7 linked regions of the Sus scrofa genome follow. The protein of the gene in region 4 interacts with the protein of the main gene of each other region in a pairwise test. Links are inferred from orthologs where the notes say so. Each region holds a gene or a part of one and is shown on either strand. Other genes may lie near its edges. The genes, in order: TUBGCP4, FAM212A, FHL3, PAK5, PDLIM7, CARD9 and UXT.

What was found.
Region 1: the proteins of PAK5 (region 4) and TUBGCP4 interact in a two-hybrid assay, tested with the Homo sapiens proteins (2 studies listed by BioGRID and IntAct). The two-hybrid records come from large-scale screens. The link is inferred for Sus scrofa from reciprocal best matches to the Homo sapiens genes PAK5 and TUBGCP4.
Region 2: the proteins of PAK5 (region 4) and FAM212A interact in binary tests that used the Homo sapiens proteins (3 or more experiments, as listed by UniProt). The two-hybrid records come from large-scale screens. The link is inferred for Sus scrofa from reciprocal best matches to the Homo sapiens genes PAK5 and INKA1.
Region 3: the proteins of PAK5 (region 4) and FHL3 interact in a two-hybrid assay, tested with the Homo sapiens proteins (2 studies listed by BioGRID and IntAct). The two-hybrid records come from large-scale screens. The link is inferred for Sus scrofa from reciprocal best matches to the Homo sapiens genes PAK5 and FHL3.
Region 5: the proteins of PAK5 (region 4) and PDLIM7 interact in a two-hybrid assay, tested with the Homo sapiens proteins (2 studies listed by BioGRID and IntAct). The two-hybrid records come from large-scale screens. The link is inferred for Sus scrofa from reciprocal best matches to the Homo sapiens genes PAK5 and PDLIM7.
Region 6: the proteins of PAK5 (region 4) and CARD9 interact in binary tests that used the Homo sapiens proteins (3 or more experiments, as listed by UniProt). The two-hybrid records come from large-scale screens. The link is inferred for Sus scrofa from reciprocal best matches to the Homo sapiens genes PAK5 and CARD9.
Region 7: the proteins of PAK5 (region 4) and UXT interact in binary tests that used the Homo sapiens proteins (3 or more experiments, as listed by UniProt). The two-hybrid records come from large-scale screens. The link is inferred for Sus scrofa from reciprocal best matches to the Homo sapiens genes PAK5 and UXT.

What each region holds. Positions count from the first base shown.
Region 1 is NC_010443.5:128,028,893-128,032,039, forward strand, and holds the end of TUBGCP4 (gamma-tubulin complex component 4), read right to left. Parts: exon of another isoform or gene 2,903-3,147; coding exon 2,786-2,902; exon of another isoform or gene 2,189-2,785; coding exon 2,049-2,188; exon of another isoform or gene 1,408-2,048; coding exon 1,395-1,407; coding exon of another isoform or gene 1,348-1,394; 3' UTR 501-1,347; downstream 1-500. UniProt on the Homo sapiens protein: Component of the gamma-tubulin ring complex (gTuRC) which mediates microtubule nucleation.
Region 2 is NC_010455.5:32,328,402-32,332,667, reverse strand, and holds FAM212A (PAK4-inhibitor INKA1), read right to left. Parts: upstream 2,797-4,266; 5' UTR 2,143-2,796; coding exon 2,092-2,142; exon of another isoform or gene 2,030-2,091; intron 1,349-2,029; coding exon 542-1,348; 3' UTR 501-541; downstream 1-500. Other genes in the region: UBA7 (ubiquitin-like modifier-activating enzyme 7), read left to right, coding at 118-247; CDHR4 (cadherin-related family member 4), read left to right, coding at 3,530-3,578, 3,934-4,118, 4,243-4,266. UniProt on the Homo sapiens protein: Inhibitor of the serine/threonine-protein kinase PAK4. Acts by binding PAK4 in a substrate-like manner, inhibiting the protein kinase activity.
Region 3 is NC_010448.4:93,985,769-93,989,855, reverse strand, and holds the start of FHL3 (four and a half LIM domains protein 3), read left to right. Parts: upstream 1-1,287; 5' UTR 1,288-1,328; coding exon 1,329-1,340; intron 1,341-1,990; exon of another isoform or gene 1,991-2,144; intron 2,145-4,087. UniProt on the Homo sapiens protein: Recruited by SOX15 to FOXK1 promoters where it acts as a transcriptional coactivator of FOXK1.
Region 4 is NC_010459.5:18,502,870-18,506,369, forward strand, and holds part of PAK5 (serine/threonine-protein kinase PAK 5), read right to left. Parts: intron 2,565-3,500; coding exon 1,779-2,564; intron 1-1,778.
Region 5 is NC_010444.4:80,451,576-80,455,812, reverse strand, and holds the start of PDLIM7 (PDZ and LIM domain protein 7), read right to left. Parts: upstream 2,801-4,237; 5' UTR 2,695-2,800; intron 1,730-2,694; 5' UTR 1,720-1,729; coding exon 1,624-1,719; exon of another isoform or gene 1-1,623. UniProt on the Homo sapiens protein: May function as a scaffold on which the coordinated assembly of proteins can occur. May play a role as an adapter that, via its PDZ domain, localizes LIM-binding proteins to actin filaments of both skeletal muscle and nonmuscle tissues.
Region 6 is NW_018084833.1:1,342,072-1,346,232, reverse strand, and holds the start of CARD9 (caspase recruitment domain-containing protein 9), read right to left. Parts: upstream 2,801-4,161; 5' UTR 2,251-2,800; coding exon 1,907-2,250; intron 1,593-1,906; coding exon 1,393-1,592; intron 1,111-1,392; coding exon 973-1,110; intron 421-972; coding exon 116-420; intron 38-115; coding exon 1-37. UniProt on the Homo sapiens protein: Adapter protein that plays a key role in innate immune response against fungi by forming signaling complexes downstream of C-type lectin receptors.
Region 7 is NC_010461.5:42,175,642-42,178,386, forward strand, and holds the end of UXT (protein UXT), read right to left. Parts: intron 874-2,745; coding exon 810-873; intron 597-809; coding exon 546-596; 3' UTR 501-545; downstream 1-500. UniProt on the Homo sapiens protein: Involved in gene transcription regulation. Acts in concert with the corepressor URI1 to regulate androgen receptor AR-mediated transcription. Together with URI1, associates with chromatin to the NKX3-1 promoter region.

The sequences.
Region 1 (3,147 bases), on a different chromosome or scaffold from region 4:
GGCTGTCTAAAATTCAGTACTTCCAAAAACATGATTTTATAATGGGCCCAGATTAATAGTTGTGCCAAAAGTTGAGTGGAATTAGGCACAGCTCTTAGTTTTCTGGCAATTAGAAAGAGAAATCTCTCTTTAGAATTGAGCTAACAGCTGACCTGTGGATACTGTGCTCTCAGAGCTAAAAGGGAAAAGGACCAATTGTTGTGCATGGGTGGTGAGTGTAAACTTCTGCTAGGATCAATGTGAGAAACAGTAAAAACCCATCGAAATGTTAGCAGCTGTAGCCAGAAGGTCAAAATTTTATTCCTGTCACTGCTGCTGGAAGCTGTTCCTTCCATACTCCTAGCATCATTCGTGTTGCTATCCTCTCATGCTCTAAAGCGGGGCTTAAAATTTTTTTTTTCTACCAAACAGTAAATGCGTTAGACTTTGTGGGCCACTTGGTGTGTCATGACTACTCACCTTTGCCATGATGGCACGAGAGCAACTACAGACCACAGGTAAGCAAGGAAGTGTGGGCTGTGTCCCAGTAAAACTTTATTTACAAAGACAGGGGGTTGGTCGTAGTTTGCCAACCTCTGCTCCAGAGGCAGCAGTGAGAGGGTCATCGTTAGCTGACAGTTAGTTACAGGTAATGAAGGGGTACAGTGTGTGGTAGAAAATGGAGAGATCAGGGCCAAATTAGATGGATAATTAGACCTTCATCTTTAGGTATTTGAAATCTAACAATTTTTTTTCTTAAAGAGTTTTTTTTTAAGCTTTAAATACCTCATTGTAGCTAGAATTACCCCCTTACCAGTCTGAAATAATTGGAAGTTACTGGTAAAACTATTCAGACACAGTTTTGAAGATCCTTTGGGATAGGAAACTCACTTTCAATTTCTGAAGGAGGAAAAGGGGCTCTGTGGGGTGTGTAGAAGACTGTCTTACCTGGTGCCTTTCTTGCCGAGTGGTCACATCCAGCATTTGACCTATTTTTGAATATAATTCCTTTTTCACATGAGCCATTTAACTTTCTGATTATATAACTTACTGCCGTGTCTCTCGAAGCTTGAACAGTACCTAAGCACACAAGCAGGTGCTCAGTAAACGAATCCAATGAATGTTCTCAGTGTATCAAATCTTGTGTGGTCAGCAGAAGGAGAGCTGATGCCACAAGTCCTCCTTGGTGGTGAGTTAAGAATGGCTCTGAGGTGGGGCCCATGCCCCTTCTACCTGGGAACAAGGGGAAGCATTTGTATCCATGGATGTTCAAAAACTGCTTCTAGGAGAAAAGGTAGAGCTGTTGCGGGAGGCTGCAGATGTATGGGCCTGGCCAGAGGACGGGATGTTTTGAATCCTCAGTTACAGCTATAGCACGGTGAGACTGACTGACTTCTGTCTGTGGACCAAAATTCTCACATCCCGAAACTACAAAAGAAAAAAGGCCACTTGATAATATGCTTCCCTAAGATTTTCTTCAGAGAAATAATGAGCCAGGGCAACAACTTGTGATCTAGATAATGTCATCTTAAAACTGTTTGCTAAATTTACTTAGGAGAAATCTGCTCAACATATCAGAGAGAGAAAGGAGAATAATATTAAGTGCTTTTGAGTGAGACAGACCTCAGAGAAGCCACTACCACTGAATCTCGCCGTTAGATTAAAAAAACAGTTGAGAGTTAGAAAGGGTATCCTTTCAGTGCAAAAGCTGGGGATCAGTGAGGCAAGAGTCAGGGCAGGGAGGCCCCCAAGGCTGGGCAGCTGGTTTGTGTCAGAACTGGGATTCAAGCCATGCTGCCTTCCAGCACAGCAATGCACTACCTAGCCAAGAACTTAAAATCCATCTCGGCCTTAGGAGTGTTAGTAATTTACTATGATGATGATTTTTACTGGACAGTCATCTTCACTGATGATCAAACACAGCCCCTCTTCTCTCTGAGCCTTACTTTCCTTGTTTATAAAACGAGGGTATTTCGACTAAATGATGGCTGAAGTTCCAGCTCTGGAATTCCACCGCTCATTAAAAAAGCCACACAGAGTCTACTAAGCCCCAAGGTGCTTGTTCCTACCTGCCCAGAGTGCCACCAGCCTGGGTGTAGTATTTGTTATAATCTAGCCGTAAGAGTAGCTGGGCCAAATCAGAGTTGATCTGATGATTCCGAACACTGGAGAGAATCTTGAATAGGAGTGAAGACTGGCGGCTAAAACCCTGCAGAGAGAAGGACTCAAGCTGTCATTCCTCCTACACGCACCAGCTGTCCAGGTGGAGTGAGGGGGCAGGGGGTATTCCTTGGAAAAATCTTGCTGAAAATTCTGCAGCACCAACTGGCCTTCCCACATCCCATTTCTTTTAGCTCCTAAAATGACTTCTTTGTGCATAGACTGCATGACTTGCTGTGAAAATACTCTCATTCTCAGTAGGAATTTAGCAGCCAGCTTCAGATTGATAGATGCTGCTGTGTACTGGGCTGGGGGAGAGCCTGTGCTTTTGTTACAGGCAGAGAATTATCGCAGTGAAACAGGTTAGTTCAAGGAAGTAAGGCGGTTGGATGTTAAAAAGTAAGAACAAAGCCAGTGCATGTTTGGTGGGCTGAATAAACTGTTCAGGACTGAACAATATTTGATCGCTGAGGCAGCACATAATTATCTGCTTCAAAAACTGATACCAACATTTTTTAAAAATCTTTGTATCTTGTTATTTCTGTGTGTCTGTATTGGGGAAATGCTTAAATTGACTCAGAGGAATAGATCATGATGCCCCATCAGCAAAACCACCTCCATCCTTCCAAGGACCAGGCCCACTCACCTTCACCAGGATGCTCAGCTGGGCAGCCCCACGTTCATCCAGGGGGCCCAGGTTCTGACTGACCAGTGAGCAAAAGCTGTGACAGAGGTCTAAGATTTCATTCAGGCAGTGAAACACCTATACAGGAAACAGGTGACATTAGGAGGAAAAAGGAATAGATAGACCTGTGAAATTATAGATTTGGGAAAATAAGAGCTACCCTCTTCCCCTCCTCTACATCTGACCTCCGCAAAAAAAAGTGCAAGTTCTGCCGGCCCCTCAAAATGCAACGTGTGTAAAACTTCCCTTTTGGGCAAAGACACTGCCGTCCTCTTGGTCAGCCTGCACGAAACCTCCGCTTGAGGCACATTAAACTAGTCCTT
Region 2 (4,266 bases), on a different chromosome or scaffold from region 4:
CTGGCCTGGGATCCTTATAGCCCATCAGCACCCTCTAGTCCATGCCAGGACATTCTCTGCCTGCCACTGCTCACATATTCCATCTCTCTCCCACCCCTCTCCTCCTCCTGCCACCAGGGTGACAGATCTGGTGCAGCAGGTAACAGGACGAGCACCTGAGCCTGGGCAGCGGGTGCTTGTACTGGAGCTCAGCTTTGAGGGTGAAGAGGAGGACACTGCCTTCCCACCCTTGCACTATGAGCTGTGAAAAGGCAGCAGCCCCACTATCCAGCTCTGTCAAGCCCTGCGTCCCAAGCCCACAGTAGGTGCTCAATAAATGCTTGTTGAAGGAAGGTGTAAGTGGACAGGATGGATGATGGAACACAGAGCAGGCACATGGGGGTGGGACACAGGCATGACATGGACCCCTGCTGGGAGGGAAAAGACTCTAGATTTGCTTGAATTGTGCCTTGTGGGTCTGAGGCTGCCTCCTGGAACCTCAGGGGTATGGAACCAGGACGTCCAGAGAAAGGCCTTTATTGTCCCAGGCTGGAGGGCAGGGTCAGAGGTAGCTGACAACATCATTGCAGATGATAGGCTGGCGACTGCGGCAACTCATAAGGGCTGCAAAGCGCGAGACATCTGTAGGCAGTTCGGGTTCTGGGCGAGGTGGGCATGAGAGTCGCTTTCCTGCCAGCGCTGCCCGGCGTGCCCTGGCCAGCTGGCGCCTCAGCTGTTCTGAGAGACCAAGTAGGAACTGGGGGGGGCGAGCACGGGCTCGTGGCCCACCCCCATCATCCCCCTCACCTGAGGCCTCTGGCAGCTCCATCCAGTTGTGCACCAAGTCAGCAAAGCAATTGTCCCCTAGCACCAGGGGCTGGCGACTGCGACCTCGGCTCAGCAGGGCTGCTGTCCAGTCCTCAGCTTCCAGCCCTTGCCAGTGCTCCAGGCAGGCATCTGGGGTGGACTTGGGCCGTGGTCGGTGGGCAGGTGGTGCACTGGTCACAGGAGCCCCACTGGGCAGGGGAATGCTACTGGCTGAGAGGTGCTGTCTATGAGGGGGCCATACTGGGGGTGCTGGGTGCTGGAGTATGGGCAGCTCTTCCTCTCTCCATGTGCTGCCTGACACCTCTGAGAATCCAGAGTCCCAGTCCAGGGCATGCTCCCTGGGGCCTCCCAAGGCTGCACCCCTGTCTCCTGTCACCATAGCGTCTTCCTCCTCTTCCTCCACACCACAGACTGAGTCCTCTTCCAAGGCATCTGAATCTGAGACCCTGAGCCGGTGCTTGGGCCGCACGCCTGGATCGGGTTTGGGGGGTGGTGGAAGGGGGCCAGGCATGGGGGATGAGCCTGTGTCCCGGCCACACAGCTGTGGAGGAAGAGAGGGCAGAAGTCGGAGGGGCAGTGCTTCTCATGCCTGCCTGCCTGGCCAGTTCTATGCCAAAACAGAAGGCCTAGGAGAGCTGGATAGGCCTGCAGGCCTAGGCAGCAAGGCCCCTAGTGGGCACAAGGCCGGCATGGGGTGCTGGCACATGAAGCTCATGTGGCTTCCATTGGCGGACCCGGTGGCAGTCTGGCAGGCTGCAGCACGCTGAGCTGGGCAAGTTGGTACCCGCCATCGGGGCGGGAGGCAGTGTTGTGGGCCTACATCGGGAAGTAGGACTGCTCAGGGCTGGGGGGGGCACTCCATGCCTCTTTAGGGATTTGGCTCCCCAAAGCCCGCAACGTCTTTCAGAGGATAGACCACGTGCCAGGTGGGGTGCAGAGGACAGAGGTACAGGCCAGCCTGGATTAAGCTTTCACAGCAGCACCGGCACCACTTTAGTCCCTCGCAGCCCTCCCCCCCCATCCGCCCCAAATAAGTTTCTCCCTCCACCCCCGCCCCCAACTTCCTCTGCCGCGCACAGCACAGCCAGCTGGGTGGTTGTTACTTGATGCCCAGCGCAGCTCTCAACCATCTGAAACCCGACGTGGGCCATCTGCGCCGCCCCGCCCCCATTCTGCCTTGGATGGGCACTCGGGACAGCCCCCCACCCATGTGTCGTTCCAGCCGGACTGCAGCCGAGCACCCCACAAGCGTCTTAGCGAGCCACACCCGCTCCCAAGCCTCACCAGTTCCCAGCGGAGCTGGCCAAGAAAGCTGTCAAGCCGAGTGCTGTGCATGCCCGTGCCGGAGCCCCCGCCAGGCCTGCCAGTTGCTCTTCGAACTCCAGCAGGAGCGGTGCGGTGAGGGCCGGGAAGGCCGGCCAGCGGAGCCCTTGCCCTCCGCCAGGCTCAGCGGCTCCTCCCTCTCCGTAGCTCCCGCCGCAGCAGCAGCCACCGCCCCAACATCTGGCAGCCCCGCCCCGCCCCTTGGCGCCGCAGCCAATGGGGCTGGGACGGGGCTGATGTGGCCCCGCCCCCTGGGTCCAGCTGGGTGGGAAACCCGACGCCCACTACCCACTCCGCAACAGCCCTGGGGGGGAGGGGCTGAACAGGGGCCGAGAGCTGGGCAGTGTCCTGCTTCCGAGTCCTCGAAGTCCTGGGCGGTTGAGCTGACTCCGAATTCGTTGCAAGACTCAGGACAAGCCGCTTCCCTGAGGTAGCCTCAGCTTCTCCATTTTTCCCGGGTTAGAATTGCGGTCCCTCCCACAGGGGCCCCTGCAGCGCGCGGGTTCCGTGGCTGCGCCCTCACGCGGCTAGAGCGCCCCCAGTAGTCGCATCCGACAGTGCTGTGGCCCACTTGGGGCCTGACCCACTCAATCTGTTCATGGGGCTGGCTTCGACAGTCCTTAGAAGTCAGGAAGGGGTTCGGCCCTTTGGATGACTCCGGGAGCGCGGAACCTCACCGCCCCCACGGAGTAGCAGCCGGAGCCCAGGCCCAGCCCCCGCGTCTGTACGAAGCTAGGCGGGGCTGCCCTCTAGTGGGCAGCGCGCGGTTATCTGCTCTTCCTGCCGCGACACTCACGTTCCCTCTGCTTGGCACCACATACACACTGAGAGTAAGGGCAGGAGGCCACTTTTTGCCCCCTCCAGTTGATGTCCCCCAAAGTAACCACTATTTTTGCTTCTATTGCCAAGGATACCTTTTGTTTGTTGAATGTAGACAGCTTTTGAGAGATTTTGTTGATGGTTGGGCTCAGATTTTATAGGCAGGTGATATTCTAATGGGGGGGGAAGCTAGAGTTCAGACGCTATGGGGTAGCAGGTCCTGGGCCCAGTTTTCCTGGGTCCTGTGCTTACTCTGTCTCCAAGAACTGTGTGACCAAGACTTCCTTGAGCCTCAGTTTCCCCATCTGAAACTTGATTCTTCTCTCACGTCTGTTTCAAAATTGTAGTAATAAATTGGGGAATTCATTGGGAGCAGTGAAAAAAATGGGTATTTCCAGACCTCTTGATGCCTGTAGAGTCTAGAACTCAGTCACCAGGGATGGGTGGGGCTAGAATCTTGGAGGCCCAGGAGTACCGCCTGCTCAGCTGTGTTTGAGCAACTGACCTGGCAACGGGGCAGGCCTGAAAAACACGTCTGTCTTTCTGGAGTCTCCTCTGCTGTCTGTATCTTCAGGCCGCTATGGTGCTGCTCAGGTCCCTGGTGCTTCTTCTTGCTCTGGTTGTCTCTGGTGAGGAGCTGGTGGGTAGGGGGACTTTAGTTCTCACCTCCCTCACTCCACAGTGGAGTCCTGACCCCTTTCAGATAAGCTCCCATGGAGGGCAGGGGCTGGGGGAAGGAAGCCAGGAAAGGACAAAGATCTGAACCTCTGGCCCTCATTCCTTATCTTTGCTTCTTCTTCAACCAAGTTCTCACTCCTAGTCTGTGAAATGATCTGACTTGTGGTTAGATGTGAGAGACAAGGAAAGACTTCTGCTTGTCCCCAAGATGTGGCTAGGCCCTAAGGCAGAAGGGAAGGACTCTGCTTGTGTATATGGTTGCTTGAACATGGAGAGCCTCCAGCCTGAATTGTCTCTTCCTCACAGATCATCACTGCCTGCCCTGGTTCATAAATGTCTCTGAGAGCCAGGGACCTGGCACCATCCTTCACTCTTTCTCCTTCAACTGCTCTTTACACACACCCACCCTGGAGTTGCTCCATGTGAAGCCACCCACCACCTTCTTCAACCCACCCAGCCTCACCAGGTGGCAGGGGATCTATGTGGGCAAGGTAGGGTCACGGGCACAGCTGGGGACATTGGGGAAATAAAGGTGGACACTAAATTCATTAAGCCAGCGGTAGTATAGGGGAATGGAGAACCTAGGTCCCATATGGCACTGCCCACCTGCTGCAGATGACCTTGAGCAGCATGGCCCGG
Region 3 (4,087 bases), on a different chromosome or scaffold from region 4:
AAGTACTTAGAGTCTGGTGCAAAGTAAAAACTCAGGGAATATTGGCTCTTTGTGAGTAAAACCAGAGACCAGCCCCTCCAACTCTGCCTTTGGTCCAGCACCTTCCTTATTCAGTCATAACCCCTTCCTTTCTGAAGGCTGTTGACCTTTGCCCTCCCCTCAGCCCAGAGCAAACCCCTTCTTTTTTATTTTTTTGCTTTTTAAGGCCGCATTCACAACATATGGAAGTTCCCAGGCTGGGAGTCAAATCAAAGCTACAGCTGCCAGCCTACACAGCCACCACAGCCACTGCAACAAGGGATCCCCGACTCACTGAGGGAGGCCAGGAATCAAACCCACATCCTCATGGATACTAGTCGGATTTGTTTCCACTGTGCCACAACTGGGAACTCCCAGTAAACCCTTTCTTGCCCTCATCCAACCAGGCAGTCTTCCCTGCACTCCCCAGGGCTGGGAGTCTCCTACACCTGCAAGATAAGTTCCAGAGCAAGGGTCAACACAGGCACTGGCTGCTTCCTCCCCGGACTCCAGAAGCATATGCCTGCAGTCCAATCCGGGCACCTAAGGGTCCAATGACATGGAAGCAGTGTTTGTCACTCATTCATTCATCAGATATTTATTAAGTGCCAGAATCAGAAGGACCTGGTCCCTGCCCTCATGGCCCTTACAGTTTAGGCATGAGGAACAATGATAATTAACAAGCAGTTAGTTAATTTTGAAAGGAAACCTGGCCTCCAGGGTGTCTTGGGGCCCTCAGGCAGGCATGGGATTCAGAGGTTGGAGAGGAGGGTACTCAGGAGCCCCAGCCTGGGAAGGAATGAGTCTCTGCCCAGGGAGCTTGTTTGGACCCAGCCTGGGGGATGGGAGAGCCTCTCTGGGCACCTGAACCTCTACTCTAGACCCTGAGGTTATTTCCAGGGTTGGTTTGTTGTCTCTTGTTTTGCAAACAGCCCAGCAGAGCCTCCTCCTCCCTCCCCAACCCTTCCAGACCATGGCTATTTATTCCTAGTGACAAGCCTGAGGATCCCAGGGGGGTTGGCCTCAAGGACCTGGAGGGGCCTTGTGTCCCTGGCAGGCGCCAGTCCTCCCTCCCCGCAGGGCAGGACCCAGGGAGGAAGCCAGAAGGTTAGAAACTGCAGAGGTCGGGGAGAAGAACTTCTCTCCACCACCCCTGCAGCGCCCTGTCCATGCACACTCCTCACACTCCTTCCTGAGAAGCTCAAAAACCACGGGGGGGGGGGGGAAGGATTAGGGTATCCCCTGGGCCTCAAAGGTCAAAACTATTCCTGGACACAGTGAAAACCAAGGGAGGATTTCTCTGTTCCACCATGCAGCAGGAGGTGAGGAGGTGGTTACTCGTTTTCACGCTCAGGGTGGGAGAATAAAGCCCTTTGAAGGTCAAGGCCCTCTGGAGGGGGTCCTTGCTTCACTCCTGGTTTCCGCGGAACACCTAGGTTCCCACTTACAGAGCTGTGACAGCAGGGCCAAGCCCCCAGCCCCACCCCCAGGCTGGAATGAGTCCTCTAGTACACCTTCGGGCAGTGTGATCCCTGGGGGTAAACTGGGAGGGGGCGAGGACACGAAGAGGGCATGAGGTCCCCAAATGGACCTTGGTCGGCTGCCTCCTGTATCCTTTGCCCGAGATTGAACACAGCTAACCGCTGGGGGTGGGGGGGGGCCGGGAGAGGGGGCGAGCAAGGAGGGAGGACAGCAAAAGCTGCAGGGAGGGGACAGGGGCGGGGTCCTGGCCGCTCGGGAAGGTTGCGAGAGCCAGGTTAGGCCTGGAAGGCCGAGGGGGCTGGGGCTGGCTCCGATCTAAAAGGGAGGTGGGGGCGGGGTCTGCCCCCCTCCCCAGCCCCTAGCCACGGGGACCTGGGGCCGGGGGCGGGGTCCGCACCCCGCGGGCAGGGGCGGCCGGGGGCGGGGTCCGGGCGGGGCGGGCCCCAGCGCTCACTTCCTCGAGGAGGGGTTGGGGCCGCGCTCCCACTCGCCCACACAGTCCGTGTGCAGCCGGCAGCCTAGCCGGTAGCTCGCTCGGCCCCGCTCGGCCTGGCCCGCAGGTAGGAGCCGCCGAGGGACGCGGCCCCGGCTGCCCGGCCCTCCCTGCTCGAGCGCCGCGCCTCGCTCCCGCCGCCCGCTTCGAGGTGAGCTCCGCGCCGAGCCCCGCTCCCCATCCCGGCTCCCGGCCCTCGCCCTCGGGCGGGAAGGTAGAGGCGACCCACCGGGGGTTCAGAGCAGCCATGGCCCCCGCCTCTTGCCCTTTGCCTCCGCCGGGGTCCGGCCGCGGGCGCCAGGGACGCTCTGGGAGCCGGTGGCGCGGGGGCGCCGAGCCCTGAGGGGCGCCACGGGGACCGCACCGCCCCGGGCCTCCTGGCGGGGCGGGCGCTGCTACGCGAGTTGGGCGGGGGAAGGGGGCCAAGTTTGAAATGGAAAACCAGCGTCGAGAGCTACCGGGAGGGTTCGAGAAACCGGCTTCCAAAAAGCCTGGTGGAGCCAGAAACCGAGACAGCATAAGGAGTGACAAGCTTGGAGAGGAGGCTGCAGAGATTCCCGAAACAGGGACAGAGACTTGGGCGTAGAGTCACCGGGAGGCAGACCCGAGGCGTAGGGACCCCTCCGAGGTTTTGTGGAGCGGAGCATTTTAAGGAAAAGCATGTAATGACCCCAGAGGTGTTGTCGGCCTTTCCCAGAGCCTTGGAAGGTTCTGGGCAAGTGAGGGGCTCCAAAGCTTAAGCTTCATTAGCCTCGTGGTAAAGCAGCCTTGGAGAGGCCTAGAAAGATCCAGAGTCTAGAGTCGGAGACACTCAGGCATAGAGATGCTAAGAGATAGAGAAGGACGGTGGGGGAGGACCAAGACATTCCACCTTTTAGAGACATTGAGATGCCAAGGCTTGGGTGGACGGAGGGAGAAATCCACCGAGGCTGTCGTTGGGAGATGGCCAGTAGAGATACAGAGACATGGAAACATAAAGACAGCTGCCAAAGTGTGCAGACACAGACGTGCTGAGTGGAGCAGAGCTAGACATCAAGAGACAGATGTCATGGAGGCACAGTGACAGCTTCCAAGACAGACCCACGGGACTCAGGCCCAAAAGACTGGGAAGTGAGGATGTGGGGAGACAGAAACTCTAGACCAGTCAATCCCCCATGAGGATCTGAGACAGTAAGACACAGCAAGAAGGAGCCCCATGCAGTCCCCCAATCAGCTCCAACTTATTTTTAAACTCAAATCTTGGGCGCACTGCTTCAGTCCAGGGGGACCCGGGGTGAATGAACTGTTCCTTTCTGTCCCCAGAGCAGCTGCTGGATCCTGCTTCCCACCCCGCCTTCCCCCAAACCGCTCTGACTCCCAGCCCTCATGGGGGGAGGGGAGAGAGCCCGGAGAGTTTGGGGTTGATGCCTAGTTGGGGGGGGAGGGAAGAGTTTGGTTTCTCCCCTCAAGTCTCTTGTGAGCTCCTGTAAGCTGGGGGAGGGTCTGTGCTGATTCTGAGTCACAGCTGTGGGACCTGGCCAGGGTCCTCCTAGACATTGTGGGGGGGAAGGGCAAAGGGGGTTGAGCGGTTGGCATGGGTACTTGGAAAGGCTTCTGGGTGTCTTCCAGTCACAGGGCTGGCAACTGGGGAGAAGAGCCAGGCTCCTGTCCCAGTGATATCACCTAGCATCTCCTGTCCCCCTGCTCTTAAATGCTGACCACCCCCTCAGCCACTGCAACATTTCTAGGGAAAGAGAAACGGACTTCAGGCTGAGAGGCAGGGGACCTAGGATCTCATACCAGAGTGACTTTGGGCATGTCTCTGCCCTGTCCCTGGCCGCCGTGCTCAGCTGTAAAACGGGGATGATGTCCTATCCCGCCTGCCGTTTGGGAGATCTGATTGGTGGTGGGTGGGCGGCATTGCACTTTGTGAGAAGCCAAACAGCACGCTAGTGTCTACTCTTCTGTACCTGTGTTGGAGATTTCAGAGTTACGCTCACTGGTGTCAGACCTGCCCCCACTGGTCTTAGTGAGCACCACGCCTGGGTCTCTTTAACGGAGAACTAAGGCTTTCCCTCCTTGTTCTCTCCCTGAGCCCACCACTGAGAATGTCAA
Region 4 (3,500 bases):
TAGAAAAGTGGTTGACAGGGTCTGGGGTGAAAAGAAGGGAAGAAGTTGGTAAAAGGGTGCAAATTTTCAGCTATAAGATGAATAAAGTCTAATGATAGAATGTATAATGTAGTGACTACAGTTGATAACACCAGAGTGTATAACTGAAATGGGCTAAGAGAGTAGAACTTAAATGTTTTCATACACAAAGAAGGTAAGTATGGGAAGTGATGGATGTTTTTACTCAATGAAGGGAATCCTTTCACAATGCATAGGTAGATCAAATCATCATCTTGTATATTTTAAATATCTTACAATTCTGCCAATTATACCTCAGCAAAGCTGAAAAAAAAATCACATTCTTTATTCCTAAAGTAGCCCCTGATGTTCAAAGACCAGAAGATGCAACTAAATTTAGCTACAGAATGTGTTAATTTGCTTAGTTCTCTCTGCAACCATGAAGGGGTTCTCTCGGTGGAGTGATGTGCACAGGAAATCGAATAAATGATCTTATGCATCATGACACACATGCATATGGCTTCCTACAGCTTTTCTCTGCTTGTTAATTAGACCTCTTTCCAACCATTGCTCTGGAAAGTAAAGGCAAGACCATGGGAGTAACTAAGATAAATACCACGGTGAGATGGGAAACATTCTCAATATTTAAATTTTAACTGGAGGTATATATTTCAGGTCTTTACTTCCTCAAGAATTTATTTTTAATTTTATATATTGGGAGTTAGAGTGATAGCTTTTTTTTTCATTTTTCCATTGTATGGCATAAGTCACTCCCAGCATAGCCCTAGACGGCTTCAACATCTTGGATTGGGTTTCTGAGAAATAAGAAGCAAAGGAAAAAGGATGGCTATTGACATCAACCAACTAGATGAGTGCAGGCAGGCTTGCCTTCCAGGGTATGCTGTGAGGCCTACCAAGCTGTTGAAGAGACAGTATTTGGTGTAAACCTCCGTGATCATGCTACTGGAAGTCAAGTCTCTCTCAACTGGTCTGAGAGCTCTGTAACCTAGAGCCCATCTCCAAATGCCCCATTTTCACTTTACTGTCCAGGGGAGGTGGCAAAAACATCTCTAAGTTACTAAGGAAAACACTCCCCCAGCATACTCCCTAAGGTACTTTGCAAAGTCAGTAACTTCTCCAGCAGCGGTTCCTAAACTTTGGGACGTCATGGACCAACCACATTTCAAAACAAATGTGGAGCAGCTAACAACAACAACAAAAATTACCAAGAGAGGAATTACAATAAGACAAAACAACATTAAAAACTACATGGAAAATGGTCCGGTAACCAGATTCTATCTACCACCTCAAAGAGTCATAGAGAAAAATGACATTTCAATACGGAACAGTAGAAAGACATAAGCTCAAAATGAAGAACCATCCCTTGAGTAGAATGCAATTAACTTTGTTAAAAACTTACCACATTATCTTGCTTTCTTTTTCCTTGTCGGCAGAGCCACATAACCTTAAGCAGAGGCAGGAACCACCATGCTACTGCATATAATGATCTACAACTGAATGCTCCTTAACACAGGACTTAGTGCCATATGAGGATATATAATCATGAGTACATCAGAATATTTTTCAAATAATTTTTTTTTTTTTTTGCTTTTTAACCAGAAACCCTGTAGGAGCTCCTCCAAAGGCTTTGATTTTAATGAATACATGTGCCTTGCCTTAAAGTCTCTGCTCCTGGGGCTCATGGGTGGAAATCAGGTAGAATTTTATACGGATTCCCACTTAAAGGTAAACCCTGGAGGGAGGGAGGGGGTGAGCATTACCTTTGGGATGCACATAGTGGGCTCAGACAAGCGAGGGTAGGTGTAGGAACTGTAGGAGTGTCCTTGGGAGTGGGTTTTAAAAGCACTAGCTCCGAAGGGCATCGTGGGTTCCTGGAGCCCTGAGCCGGACCGTGACCTCTGCCGCATGGCGGGCTGAGGACTCGTCTGACTCAGGTATGATGACTTTGGCCTCCTGTCATAGTCCTCCAGGCTGGGTCCCCATTCACTTTCGCTGTACGCCAGGCTCTCCTTGGAGCACCCACTGGTCCCTGCAGTTCTGGAAGGCATGAACTGGAATGGATAATCCAGAGGGGAGCTGCTGGAGGCTCTCTGGTACCCCCACTTAAGGTCACTGTACTCAGTTGGTTTGCTCAGTGAGTCCAAGGGTGCGTGGTAGTCGATAGGAAATCTGGTTATCTCGGATTTCAAAGGCTTCATTTCAGAATAGTAGGCCTCCCCAGGTTTCATTTTCATGACGTGCCCATTTTGCTTGGCCGAGTGGCCGCCCTTATAAAACGGATCCAAATCGTCTCCATAGAGACTTTTGTCTCTGTACTTGTCGGTGGCATAGTCAGCGGTGGTGTCAGATTCGCTGGAATACTGTGAGAAGGTGATGAAGCCGTTTTCTTCCCGATGGCCTGGACCATGGCTGGAGGCTCCCTGGTCCGGGGTGGGCGGGCTTTCCTTCCTTAGGGAGTTGGAGCGAGTCACCGAGATGTTGTCGAAATCCTCTAGCAGCCCGTTGATGGAGGTCTCCTTGCAGGGTTTGTTTCCTCTGACAATTGTCTGGGAATAATAAGGGAACATGCTTTAAAGGGAACGTTTCATGCCTTCAATTTTTTTTTTTTTCTTTTTAGGGCCATGCCCACAGCATATGGAAGTTCCCAGGCTAGGGGTTGAATTGGAGCTGTAGCCACTGGCCTACACCACAGCCACAGCGACGTGGGATCTGAGCCTTGTCTGCTACCTATACCACAACTCACCTCAATGCTGGATCCTCAACCCACTGATAGAGGCCAGGGATCGAACCCACATCCTCATGGATATTAGTCGGGTTGTTACCACTAAGCCACAATAAGAACTCCCCACGCCTTCCTATTGACGGAGGAATCCCACCCCCACTCCATCCAATTTAAACGAGGAGCATTTCATTAAAAAAGAAAAAGAGAAAAATCTGTTGATTGATTTTAGTGGTGAAATAAATCAAATAAATAACAATCTCATATAGCAAATGTTTCCTTACCTGACTCAATAGAGAAATCAAACATTAAAAAGCTATTTAGAAAAGTATACATAGGATATCACTGTTTATTTACCAGTATGAGTTCCTCTACTTAATAATAAACCCTATCTAACAATAAGCTGATGATTACAAATTGTTTGGTTATGAAAGGTGTATTTATTATCTTTTGTCATTCATTATCCAGATTACTTGCAAAATCAGTAAACATTGTTACCTGAATAGTAAATACTTGGAGGTGCAACATTTCTGTTACCTTTTTCTGGAAGATACATAATAATTGAAGTTATCAGCATATATAGAAGAGGAAGAAACTTTCTGAGCTATAAATAGGGCACAGCGTGAAGATTACTTGTTTTATTTGTGATCAAATGTGATATCCTTATTGAGTGTGTAACTGTAATGCCTGCTATGACCACACTTCTGTGTCTCATCAGTATCATCATGGCTGAATTTTACATGGCTTGGTAATGATGTGGTTG
Region 5 (4,237 bases), on a different chromosome or scaffold from region 4:
CCCTCCCTCCCCACTCCACGCTGGGGTCAGGGTAGAGGGAGAGAGGGCGGGCCCAGCTCAGAAAAGACCACCCTACACACCCGCCCACCCACCAGGGCCTAGGTCCAACTCCAGGGCTGGGCTCAGCTGGTGGCCCCACCCACATGCTAGGCCTGCTGACAAGGGAGCCTGGGCTCAGGGTGCCCCCAGCAGGCCACATCTGAAAGTCCATCCCCTAGGCTACTTTGTTGCCCATCCTCACCAAGGAAGAAACTGAGGCTCAGAGGCCAAGCCAAGGCCTACAGCTACCCAGTCACACTGGCTAGCACTTTCCCAGGGAAGGGGTATACAGGGGGAGGTTTCCAGGGCTGGAGAGACTCGAGAATTGTGTACAGGGTGGGTATATGTGGTAGGGAGATCACTGCCCTTAGCTACCCTTCCGGCAGCGCAGCTCCCAGGGTAGGATCCCTGAGAACAGTGACAGCCTAGCTGTTCTGGCCACCAAGCCCAATTCCGACAGACTCTGCTTTGGGGCCCCCTTGAGCTCAGCTGCGGCTGGACAACCCTCCGGCCCCCTCTAGGCTGTGCTTGCCCTGGGCTTCCTGCCAATAGCTGCCTGCCCACCAGGAGCCTGGGTGGGTCTCTCTGGATAAGCGGATATGGGAGCAGGAAGTCCCCACCTCCTCCTGAACCCACCCTCCACCCCCCACCACAGTGAGAGATACCAGCCCAAGGGCTGGACTCTCTCTCAGGGCAGGCAGCTTGTTTTACATGTCCCACGGCCGATCCCATGGCTAGAGCCACAGCCTGGGGGCGATGAGCTGAGGGGCCCACTGATGTGGTCAGGGGTCCAGGCCCAGACCAGCCTTTTTCAGCCCTGCAGACTCCAGCCACCAGTTGGCCATCCCTGCGTGGGGCTGCATTCTTGGGCTTATAAGGCAATCCCCCTGCCACAGGGAGGAGCCGGCCCCTAGCTCCACCCCCACCAGGACAGGATCTCAGAAGCTGAAGTCAGAGTCCTAGAGACCCATCCCAACCCCTGCTTGGGGTCAAAGCCCACTCCATCCTGAATGGGACCAGTGGATGGGATGGAAGGTCCTCACACAGGCCGGGGAGAGGCACCCCTCACACACACAGACTGCTGGCCATCCCTGTGGCTGAATTCCAATCCCTGTTTTGCCACGGAGTTGCTGAAGGAGCCCTTTCACCTCTCCGAGTCCTGAGTTAGCTCATCTGGAAAAACAGGATGACAGTTGCTATTCCCTGGGTGGCAGTGAGAATGAAGTGAGATCCTGCAGTCAGAGAGCCCTGCCTGGGGCCTAGCTCCAAGCATTGCTCTCTCAAGGAGCTTAGACACTTCCTGGAGACCTCAGAATGGGCATCCCCCTGGGCCTTGGAGGTGGCCACAGGAGCTTCGTGGAACAGCATCAGGTACAGTGCAGTGCTAGGGAAGTGTGGGGGCTCCTCTCCTAGTATCTCCCTAGTTAGGTTGGTAGTCTTCGTGGCAGTGCCCACATATCTGGACCTGGGCACCTCCTGGCCTACCGGCCGTGGCTCACTCCTGTTCAGGCTCTTTCTGTCACCCACTGGAGATCTGAGCACCCCAAGACCCCTGGGGGAGCCCCTCCCTCAATCTAGGCTCACCCGGGAGATGGAGAGGGGCACATTGAAGTCCTTGCCCCCCTGCAGCCGGAAGCCCCAAGGTGCTGGCCCCTCCAGCACCACCTTGAAGGAATCCATGGTGCCGCTCCTGAGAGGAGAGAAAAGGTGAGCAGCTGGCATGGTGGGTACACAGGCAGGCCTAGCTCTGGACATCAGGCTTGGACTAGTGCCAGGAAGGCACGAGCAGACGCTGAGCACACCCAGGGCAAGGGTAGGAGGGTAACTTGTTAAGTTTGGCTGGGCTGCTAGCTGGCAGACTTCACTTTGGAAAGGCAGCGGCAACCCCCCTTCCCCAAGGGACAGGGTGGGTGAGGGGAGCCCGAATCCAGCCTTGAGATTCTTTTCATCCAGGAGTGGATCGCAGGGCTAATTTGGCTCTGGCTTCCCCCCAAGCCATCCTTGAGCCTGGAACTAGACGGCAAGGCCAGTCCGGGGCCGGCGTTCCTCCTTTCCCCCGCCCCCAGGTCCCGGCAGGCAGGCCACGGCTGGAGCCTGCTCGGACTATATAAGGCGTGTAAGCTGACACTGTGCGGAGAGCCAACGGAGGGAACACACGGGGGCTCGGGACGCGAGGGGGAGGGGAAGGGGGGGAGGCGGCTGGAGCGGGTACTAGCCATTCCCGGACTAGTCGAAGCTGCCGTGACCCAGGGCGAGACCCCTGAGCGCTGGGGGAACTGGGCGGGTGCGCGGCCCCTGCGTAGGTCGGTGGGGACTGGGACTTCAAAGCGTGGCCAGGAAGGGAATTCATCCTAGAGTTCAGTGGGGGTGATGCCTCCCCCACAGGCCTACCCTCCTGACGTGACTCGGTTTCCCCCTGGTTCCCCGCCCCGGCCCCATGCATTGGCCGAGTCCCGGGGGCAGGAAGCGGCGCAGGCGCCAATCGGCCCCGCCGCAGCCGGCTTCGCCTCAGGAAGGCGGGGGCGGGGGTAGCGGCTCCCGCACGCCGGAGGAAGCGCAGCTTTGGCCACGACCCCTAGTGCCCGCTGTGGCCCCTAACAGGCCTCTGCCCCCCCGCCTGGCCCAGCCCGAAACGCCCCGCACAGTCGCCTGTACCTGCTCGGCCCCTCCGGGGCGCTGCTCAGCAGCGGGCTCCAGAGAGCCGCGCTGGGATCCGCCGCCCGCGTTCTGGCCCCGCCCCCGCCGCAGACATCAGTTATGAGCCCGCTGGAGGGGGCGTGGCCTGTGGCCACGCCTCCGTCAAAAGTTGAGCCCATGAGCAGTCTCCCAGGCAGTAGGAAGCCCCGCCGAATCCTTCCGTACCGCCCAATCACGAAGTCCGGTCTCTCTTTGCGCTGTAAGGCAAGGCTCTCCCTGGTCCCCTTAATGGGGCGGGGCCTGGGTAGGGTGTGGGGGGGTCTGGGCTGCTGGACAGCCCAACCCGCGGCTCGCCCAGCCCCTTGCGCCTCCCTCTGGCCGAGTGAAAAGCAAGTCACCAAGCAAACCAGGCAGATCTGGACCTGAGTCATCTCTAAACCCTAGTTTCCTACTGGGAAAGTGGGACAGTAATACTCGCCTCACAGGCCACCGTGAAGATAGGCATAGTTTGGCGTAAGGCACAGCCATTGATAGCTCAAGAATATCTAAATCGGGAGTTCCCGTCGTGGCGCAGTGGTTAACAAATTTGATCCCTGGCCTTGCTCAGCGGGTTAAGTATCCGGCGTTGCCGTGAGCTGTGGTGCAGGTCGCAGACGCGGCTTGGATCCCACGTTGCTGTGACTCTGACCAGTGGCTATGGCTCCGATTAGACCCCTAGCCCGGGAATCTCCATAATGCCGCTCCTGCGGCGAGCGGCTCTAGAAAAGGCAAAAAGACACACAAAGACACACACACAAAAGGAATATCTAAATCGGACAGACTTGGTCTGGAAGAGGGAGGGGGTGAACCTTGGAGGTGGGGTTAGTTGAGGTCGACACAGGGGGAGCTTACAGTTAAGTTTGCAGAACACTCCACCAAAGGCAGCAGACAGAGGTATAAAGGCCTTTGGCTCCGCCCCGACCCTATGCCCTGCCCTCACTCCTACCCCCTGACCCTCCGAAGGTTTAGGGCTGACCCCCAAACTGTCGAGATAGTCCTGGTACCCCACTCCAGAGTGGGCAGCGCCTCCAGTGGGGGTTTCACAGACCCCACAGCCCCAATGCTAGCGCAGTGGGAGGAAATTGACCAGGGATCAGGATGGGCATCCACCCCTCACCTCCTTCTAGGGCATGGCTGTGGCTACTCTCCTACCTCCACCATCATCATTACATTTCCCCCTATTCTGCATCATTCCCCTCATAATATAAACTGTAAGAATTTTCACTTTTTTTTTTTTTTTTTTTTTGGCCTTTTCTCATTATAGGGCTGCACCCAGGGGCATATGGAAGTTCCCAGGCTATAGCCGCCGGCCTATGCCACAGCCACAGCAAGGCCACAACAGGAATTCCAGTTACTTCCTAATTTAAACTTTCATTTTCCCCACCTCCCTAACTCCTTCCTTACTTCAAGGAAAAAAAATAAAAACAGTGTTCATCTGGTTAGGCCAGTAAAAATCATGAAGTTTTCCTTCCTTTCTCATCTGTGTCATACCTCAGATTCTGTAGATTCCACCTTCTGACTC
Region 6 (4,161 bases), on a different chromosome or scaffold from region 4:
CCTCGGCCTTCATGAGGCTGTGCTTGAGCCGATCGATCTGCGGGGCCGCCCGTCAGCCCAGCCCGGGGGCCCGCCGCCCGCCCGCCGCCCGCCCGGCCGCCCCGCCGCCAGGCACCTCCAGCTGCAGGTCTCGGTTGCGCATGAGCGCGGTGCCCCTCTCCTCGCTCTGACGGGCCAGGCGCAGGGCCAGGTCGTAGTTCTCGTCCTTGCAGCGCTGGAGCTCGCGGCCGCCGGCCTCGCAGGCCTCCTTGAGCCTCTGCGCGCGCTCCTGGTGCTTGCGCAGCAGGCCGTCCTTCACGCGCAGCTCCTTGATGAGGTCGTCCTTGGAGCCCAGCAGCGCCGTCAGGTCCTGCGCCTTCTTCTGCAGCTTCATCACCTCGCTCATCAGCAGCTGCGTCAGGCCGGACTCCCCAGACGCGTCTGCGGACCGGGCCTCATCAGACGGCGCGCCCAGCAGCCCAGCATCTCGCGCGGCTCCAGGACCGGCGGCCCGGGGAGCCCGGCCCAGGGGTCTGGTCCTGACTCACCTGCAGGCCCCGTCCCCAGCCCCTCCCAGGACGGTGCAGCCAGGGGCTCACGTGTCCCTCCCTCTTTGTCCACTTTGGTCATCTTGATTGAGAGGCGAGGGGACACGACTCAGGACCAGGAGAGCGGCACCTCTCCGGCTGCCGCGGCCTCTCGGGAGCAGGGTTTTAGTGGGGTCAGGTGGTCTTCTGGGCAGGGGGGCTCTGAGCCAAGAATCAGCCTGTGCCTCCCCTCCCCCTGCTCCCGCCCTGGAGTTCAGGTCCCCCTTCCCTCCGGCCCCTGCCCCCTCCCCGGGCTGCAGCAGGAGAGCGGGCGGGCGGGCCCCAGGCGGGCGGTATCCTTCCGCCAGAGCGCATGCACGCTTTATCCGTTAGGGGCCCAGGTCAGGGGGGCGCCCCGGCCCCTGAGTCCGGGCCCTGGGTCCCCAGGCCCGGTGCCCTTCCTCACCAATGATGACGGAGAAGACGCGGGTGGGCTCCTTGCCCGTGACCTTCTTGTAGAGCTGCGGGTAGTAGAGCTCCAGGCTCTCGAGGAAGGCCACGTAGCCCTTGTGGCCGGTGCGTTGCAGGATGTCCAGGAGCACGCCTGCAACCCAGATGGGCCTGGCTGGGGGCCGGGGCGGCCGGCGTCCCCAGGCACGCGTGTGGCCCCTCGAGGCCCCGCGGGGTGGCCGCAGAGTGGGTCTGGGCCAGTCCCCATCGGCCACCCACCTCGTGTGGCTCTCCCAGGGGCCTCTGCTGTGCATGGCGGCGCCCCGGCCGCAGGCAGACAGGTTGGTGATGGGGGGGGCGGGGCGGGGGCCGAGCCGGCCAGGCCTCCCGGGGACAGGGACGAGCGTGGGCAGAGCCCGCCGCCCACGGCACTGACCCACTTTCCGCTTGCGGATGACCAGGCTGGGGTCACTGAGCACCTGCTCCTCGTCGTCGGGGCTCAGGACCTTGCACTGGCGCAGGTAGGGCGTGATGCGGGCGGGGTCGATGACGGAGATGAGCTTCACGCGGAAGCCCTCCAGGCCGCTCCAGCACTCGTCCTCGTTCTCGTAGTCGGACATGGTGCGGGCGGGCGCACTGCTCCGAGAGAGGGCCCGTCAACTGGCCCGCCGCCCTGCCCTGCCCTGCCCCCGCCCTCTGGCCGCTCTGGGCTTCCTCTCCCCCGCCCCCGTCACCCTGGGCCCCTGCCCCACGCTACCCCCCCAGCCTGTGCCCAGGGAGAATCCCCCTCCCCGAGCATTGTGGGCGGGCAGGGAGGCTGCCTCCCTCCCTGGAGGTGAGGGGGCAGCAGGAGCTGTTTGGGCCGAGCGCTGGCACAACCTCCCCGGCAGATGAGGGAGGGGTCCCGGTCCACCCCCGGCCAGCCCGCGCCCGGCTGGGGCGCCCCCCACCTGCGGGCGGCAGGCCATGCCACGCGGGACTTCCTCATTCCCCCGCACATCCACTCCCATCCCTTCCTCTGCTTCCTGTGGCTGGTGATGCAACAGTTGCCCAGCTGGCCCGCTCCGGTCAGGCCCAGGGACGTGGTGCCCTCCAGGAAGCGTGACTGAGAGCAGCCCACCGGAGGGCCCTGGGCACATGGGGAGGGCCCAGCTGTGTCGCCCAGGCAGCCCAGGACGCGGCTGCGCGCCTCCTCCAGGCTCTGGGTGCTGGGCACTAGCTGGCCCCGGGCTCTCCCCATCTCCTCGGCCACAGTGCTGAGCACGGGGATGCTGGCTCCCTGACAGGGGACCATCTACGTGGAAGCTGCTCTCTGCTAGCCCTTCCAGCAGCGGGTGGGCAGGGACCACGCTCTGGGGCGGGCTGAGCAGGAGCAGCCATGTGGCCATGCCTCCTCCTGGGGGAGAGGGGTCGGGGGGCACAGAGACCCCGCCTCAACACCTGGGACTGAGCCTGTAACCTGCCTGGGAAACACCGGCTCCCGGGCCACGGGGGCTGGGGCACGGTCCCAGAGGCCGTGGTATCCCAGAGGCCGTGGCTGTGGGTCCCACCGCCCTCGGCCCGCCCGCCTAGCGACAGGCGCGGCGTCCAGAGGAATCACCAGCACCTTGGTGGCCGGTCTCTGGACCTGGCCTGTTGCGGCCTTTCTAGCCTCAAGTCCACAGCACCCACGCCTGACGATGACCTGCTGTGCATTCCACCGAAGCGACCGTGCCAGGTGGCTGCGAGGGGGACGGGGCAGCAGAGGTGAGGCCGTTTGGTGCCCTTCTGGGGTGTTCACGCCAGATCCCTCTCCCTGTCCCAAGAGTCCTGAGCCACCTGGGCTTGCCGCCGCCTTTCCGAAAGGGCACCAGACCAGCCTACCTTGGGGTCCTCCTGAGGCACCTGTGCAGTGGCCGGTCGCCGGCCAGCCTGGGCCGCCAAGCCGGTGTGTGAGCGGTGGGAGCTGCCGCGGCTGCCGGCCAGGGAGGGTGGGGCGGGAGGGAGCGCACTTCCTGGCGTTAACCCCGCAGGGACCATCCCTGCGGCCGCTGCTGATTCGCCCGAGCAGGGCGGCCTGGGGGGCGGGGGAGGGAAGTGGAAGTGGCTCCCCAGGAAGGCTGCCCAGAGCCCTGCCAGCCAGCGCAGGGCTGGCCGCGGGGCCCAGGGCCCGCCCTGGAGGCCCAGCCCTGACCCTGAGGAGTGGGGAGTGCGAGCCAAGGCTTGACAGAGCTCGAGCCCCTGCTGGCCCACTTTGGTCCCAGGAGGGGGCGGTGTGGTGTCCCAAAACAGGGCCCCGGGCACAGGCGCCCCGCAGCACACTGGCCTGCTGTGGCTGGCACGGCCCCGCCCCTCCTGGGACCACCCCTTCTCCACCAGGACACATGACAGTGACAGCAGCCCCCCACCCCAGCACTTCAGAAGGGCTGCAGAAGGCCGGGCAAAGCCTGGAGCCCAGCCCTGGCTGCCAGCTGCACCCTGGCCAGGTTGGGGAATCCCCAGGCCACCGCGCTGCCCGGGGAGCTTTGCCAGTTGAACCGAGCTGCCAGCTTCAGCTCCGCGAAGGGGCTGCGGCTGGACGGGCTGGATGGGAGCCTGGCCGGTGCTCCCGGCTCCCCCTTCCTGAGGAGCTTCCCTCCCGCCTGGCCAGCTCCCTTCCTGTGGGGTCTCACGCCTCAGGCCGTGTGGGGGCTTCTCTGCCTTCTGCCCAGGATGGTCAGCGGGCCACTTCGCAGAAACCTTGGGCGTCCCGGCACAGACCTGGCACTGCTGGGTTGCGTGGTGGCCTGGCCTTCCGGGGAGCTGACATCACCCTCTGGGCATGGGGAGCCCCCTGCGGGAGCCGCGAAAGCCAGGTGGGGACTTGGTGCAGGAGACTGAGCCACCGCCTCCTACATGCCCAGCAGGCAGGCTGGTACCGGGCCCTCAACGACCCAGTTCCCGTGGCTTAGAGCTCAGGCAGACGTCGTGTGCTCTGGGCGAGGCAGCAGCCACAGAGACGTCGGGACCCTCACTCAGCATTTGGAAATTGAACAAGAAAACTTAGCCCACAGGTCAGAGGAGGTCGCGAGAAAAACTGGACTCGGTTAACTGAGTCCCGGGTGCAAAGGGACCCCCCGCCCCTGCCAGGGGGCGTCAGCCTGCGGCCTGTGTGACGCGTCACACCTGGGTGCAGGGGGCCCCGGTGACTGCCGTATGCGGGAGCAGGGGCAGGACGCGCTGGGCA
Region 7 (2,745 bases), on a different chromosome or scaffold from region 4:
CCTAGAATGAGGACCGGACCAGGGAGGGCGGGCGAGATCGGCCCTGCGCCCATTGCTGGAGCTGTAACTATTTAGAAGCTGGGACAAGGCCAAGGTTGGGCCTAGACGGGCGTGGGTGTAATTTAAGTTACCTGAGGAACGATTGGAGTGTGGGAGAAGGGTAAACTTTAGGGCCAGGAGTGAAAGGTTGATTGCCTTAGGGAACAAACCGCCACCCTGAATCGGCCCGTTCTCTATGGTTAATTCAAGCAGTAGTGCACAGGAAAGGAAATAGAAAGAAGGGTCAGGTGGGGGCCCAGGTTGCCAAGGCGATGGTAGAGAGGGCAGAGCGGAAAGTCAGGTGGCACATTCTGCCAGGAAACAGGCTGGAGGCGGCACTTCAGTGGTGCTTTAAAGATTCTACACAGACTGGATCTCTGCGCCTCCCAGTAACATTGTGCTTTAGAAACGGCACTTTAGCCAACAGCAGAAGTTAATGGGGGAAAGAAGGGCCACGTGACTCAAAGACATTCAGGCTCTTTAATGTCAAGGGAGGTAGGAAGAAGTCAGTGGCGAGGCTCGGGGAAATTCTGCAGACCTTGTAGTTCTCTAAGCCCCTGAAAAAGAGAACAGAAGAGATTGAACGGAGACTGGGTCCAGGCCCCACCTCAGGCTTGCTTGGAACTCCCTTCCCTCAGAGCCAGCCTGGTTCCTGTCTGACTCATTTGGAGGGAAAGATGGCCCTTCCCATCTCTGGCTCTCTCCCTTCCTCAGGACACCACCCTAAATATTTGGAGATAGAGTCTGGGAGTGGGGTGAGCTGCTCTCACCTCTAGCAACATGTGGATATGGGCCTTGATATTCATGGAGTCCTTGGTGAGGCTGTCGCTGAGCCTGGAGAAAAGAAACGAGAAAGGGCGAGGTGGGCCCCACTTAGGATCCGTGAGGATGATGTGCCCTCACCGCTTCAAGAACCGCCTAAGTCCTGGATGACTTCCACACGGCAGGTGGTGGGACCCCTACTACCTGGCCTGCTCCTAGGCAGACATGCCTGGCCGCCATCTGCACTACACTGATTCCAAGACCTTTACTGAATGCCTACTCTATGCCAGGTTGTTTTAGGTACTGGGGAGATAGCAGCAGACATAGCAAACGAAAATCTCGGCCTCTTGGAGCTCAGATTCTCATTAAGGGGGACAGATGATGGAGTAAAATATGGAGTATGTCAGATGGTTAAAATTATAATGAAAAAAAAATTAAATGAGAGAGGATATGGGAGTACAGGAGTGGGGGCTGGAATTCGAATTAGGGTGCTTAGGGATGGCCTCACTGAGAAGCGTTTGAGTAGAGACTTAAAACAAAGAAGCGAGTCATGTGGACATATGGAGGATGTGTGTTCCAGGCACAAGGGGTGGAGAGTGCAAAGGCTCTGAGGTGGGCGCGTACCTGGCATGTCTGAGGCCCAGCGAAGAGGCCAGTGTGGCTGGAGAAGAAAAAGTGAAGTGGGGAGGTAGAGGAGGCGAGGTCACGGAGGTAAGTGGGGGAGATAGTTCGTGTAAAATCTACCAGGCCATGGTGAGGACTCTGGCTTTGACTCTAAGTGGGATGGGAGCAAGGGGAGTATTGTGATCAGAGAAGGGAGGTCAAATGACTAGGGTTTCAGAGGATCCATCTGGCTGCTGTGTGGAGAACCGACTGGGGATAAGGACAGCTGGTGTGGAAGAGGAAGGCCACTGCAGAGGCTGTCGGAATCGTCCAGGTGAGAGATGCAGACTCGGACCGCAGTGGCAGCGGTTGAGGGGATGAGAAATGATTGGAGCTGGGATACTTCTTTGAAGGTAGAGTCAATAGGATTTACCAAAGGAGGATGTTGGATGCAAGAGAGAGAGGACTCAAGGAAGACACCAAGGCTTAAAGCAACTGGAAAGCGGGACCACTCTGGCTCTGGGCTGTTGAGCTACGCCAACCAGCCCATTCCTACCTCCTGACATCTAAGCCAACTGCGACCAGGCTCACCCAAAAGAAGCCTAAGTGATGCAAAGGATAAAAGAAGGCCTTTCTGAAGAATGAGTAAGAGTTAAACAGGACAGTCTTTCACAAGAAGTCCGAGAGGCCGGAAAGAGCTTCTAGAGGAGCAATCAGGAGGCCAGTGTTAGAAAGTAAGTGAATGGTGGAAGGAAAGTGGCACAAGATCCAAGAGGTAGGCAAGGGCTAGATCATGCACGGTCTTGATATCCTGATAAGGAAGGTGGATTCTATTGTGCCGAGTTATCCTGTCAACGTAAGAGTCAGTTTTGGGGAAACTAAATACTGTTAAGAAAAGTAGAAGGCAACGACATAGGATGTTAAATTGGAAAAAAAAAAAAGAGTGTAAACTCATTTATGTATCACTATCTCCCCCCAGTTTTTCTATTTTGGCTCCCCCGCAGCATATGGAGTTCTGGGTTAGGCATCAGATCCAAGCCACAGCTGCTATCTATGCTGCAGCTGCAGCAACACTGGATCCTTTAACCCGCTGTGCCGGGCTGGGTATCGAACCTGCAGCCTGGTGCTGCAGAGATGTGGCCGATCCTGCTGCACCACAGCAGGAACTCCACTATCTCCCAAATTTGTATTTTCTTCTTTGGCTGGGGTGGGGGCATGCAGAGGTTCCCCGGCCAGGGATAGAACCTGTGCCACAGTGGCAACCCGAGCCACAGTGGTGACAACACCAGGTCCTTAAATACCAGGCCGCCAGGGAACTCCCCAAATTTATATTTTCAGTCC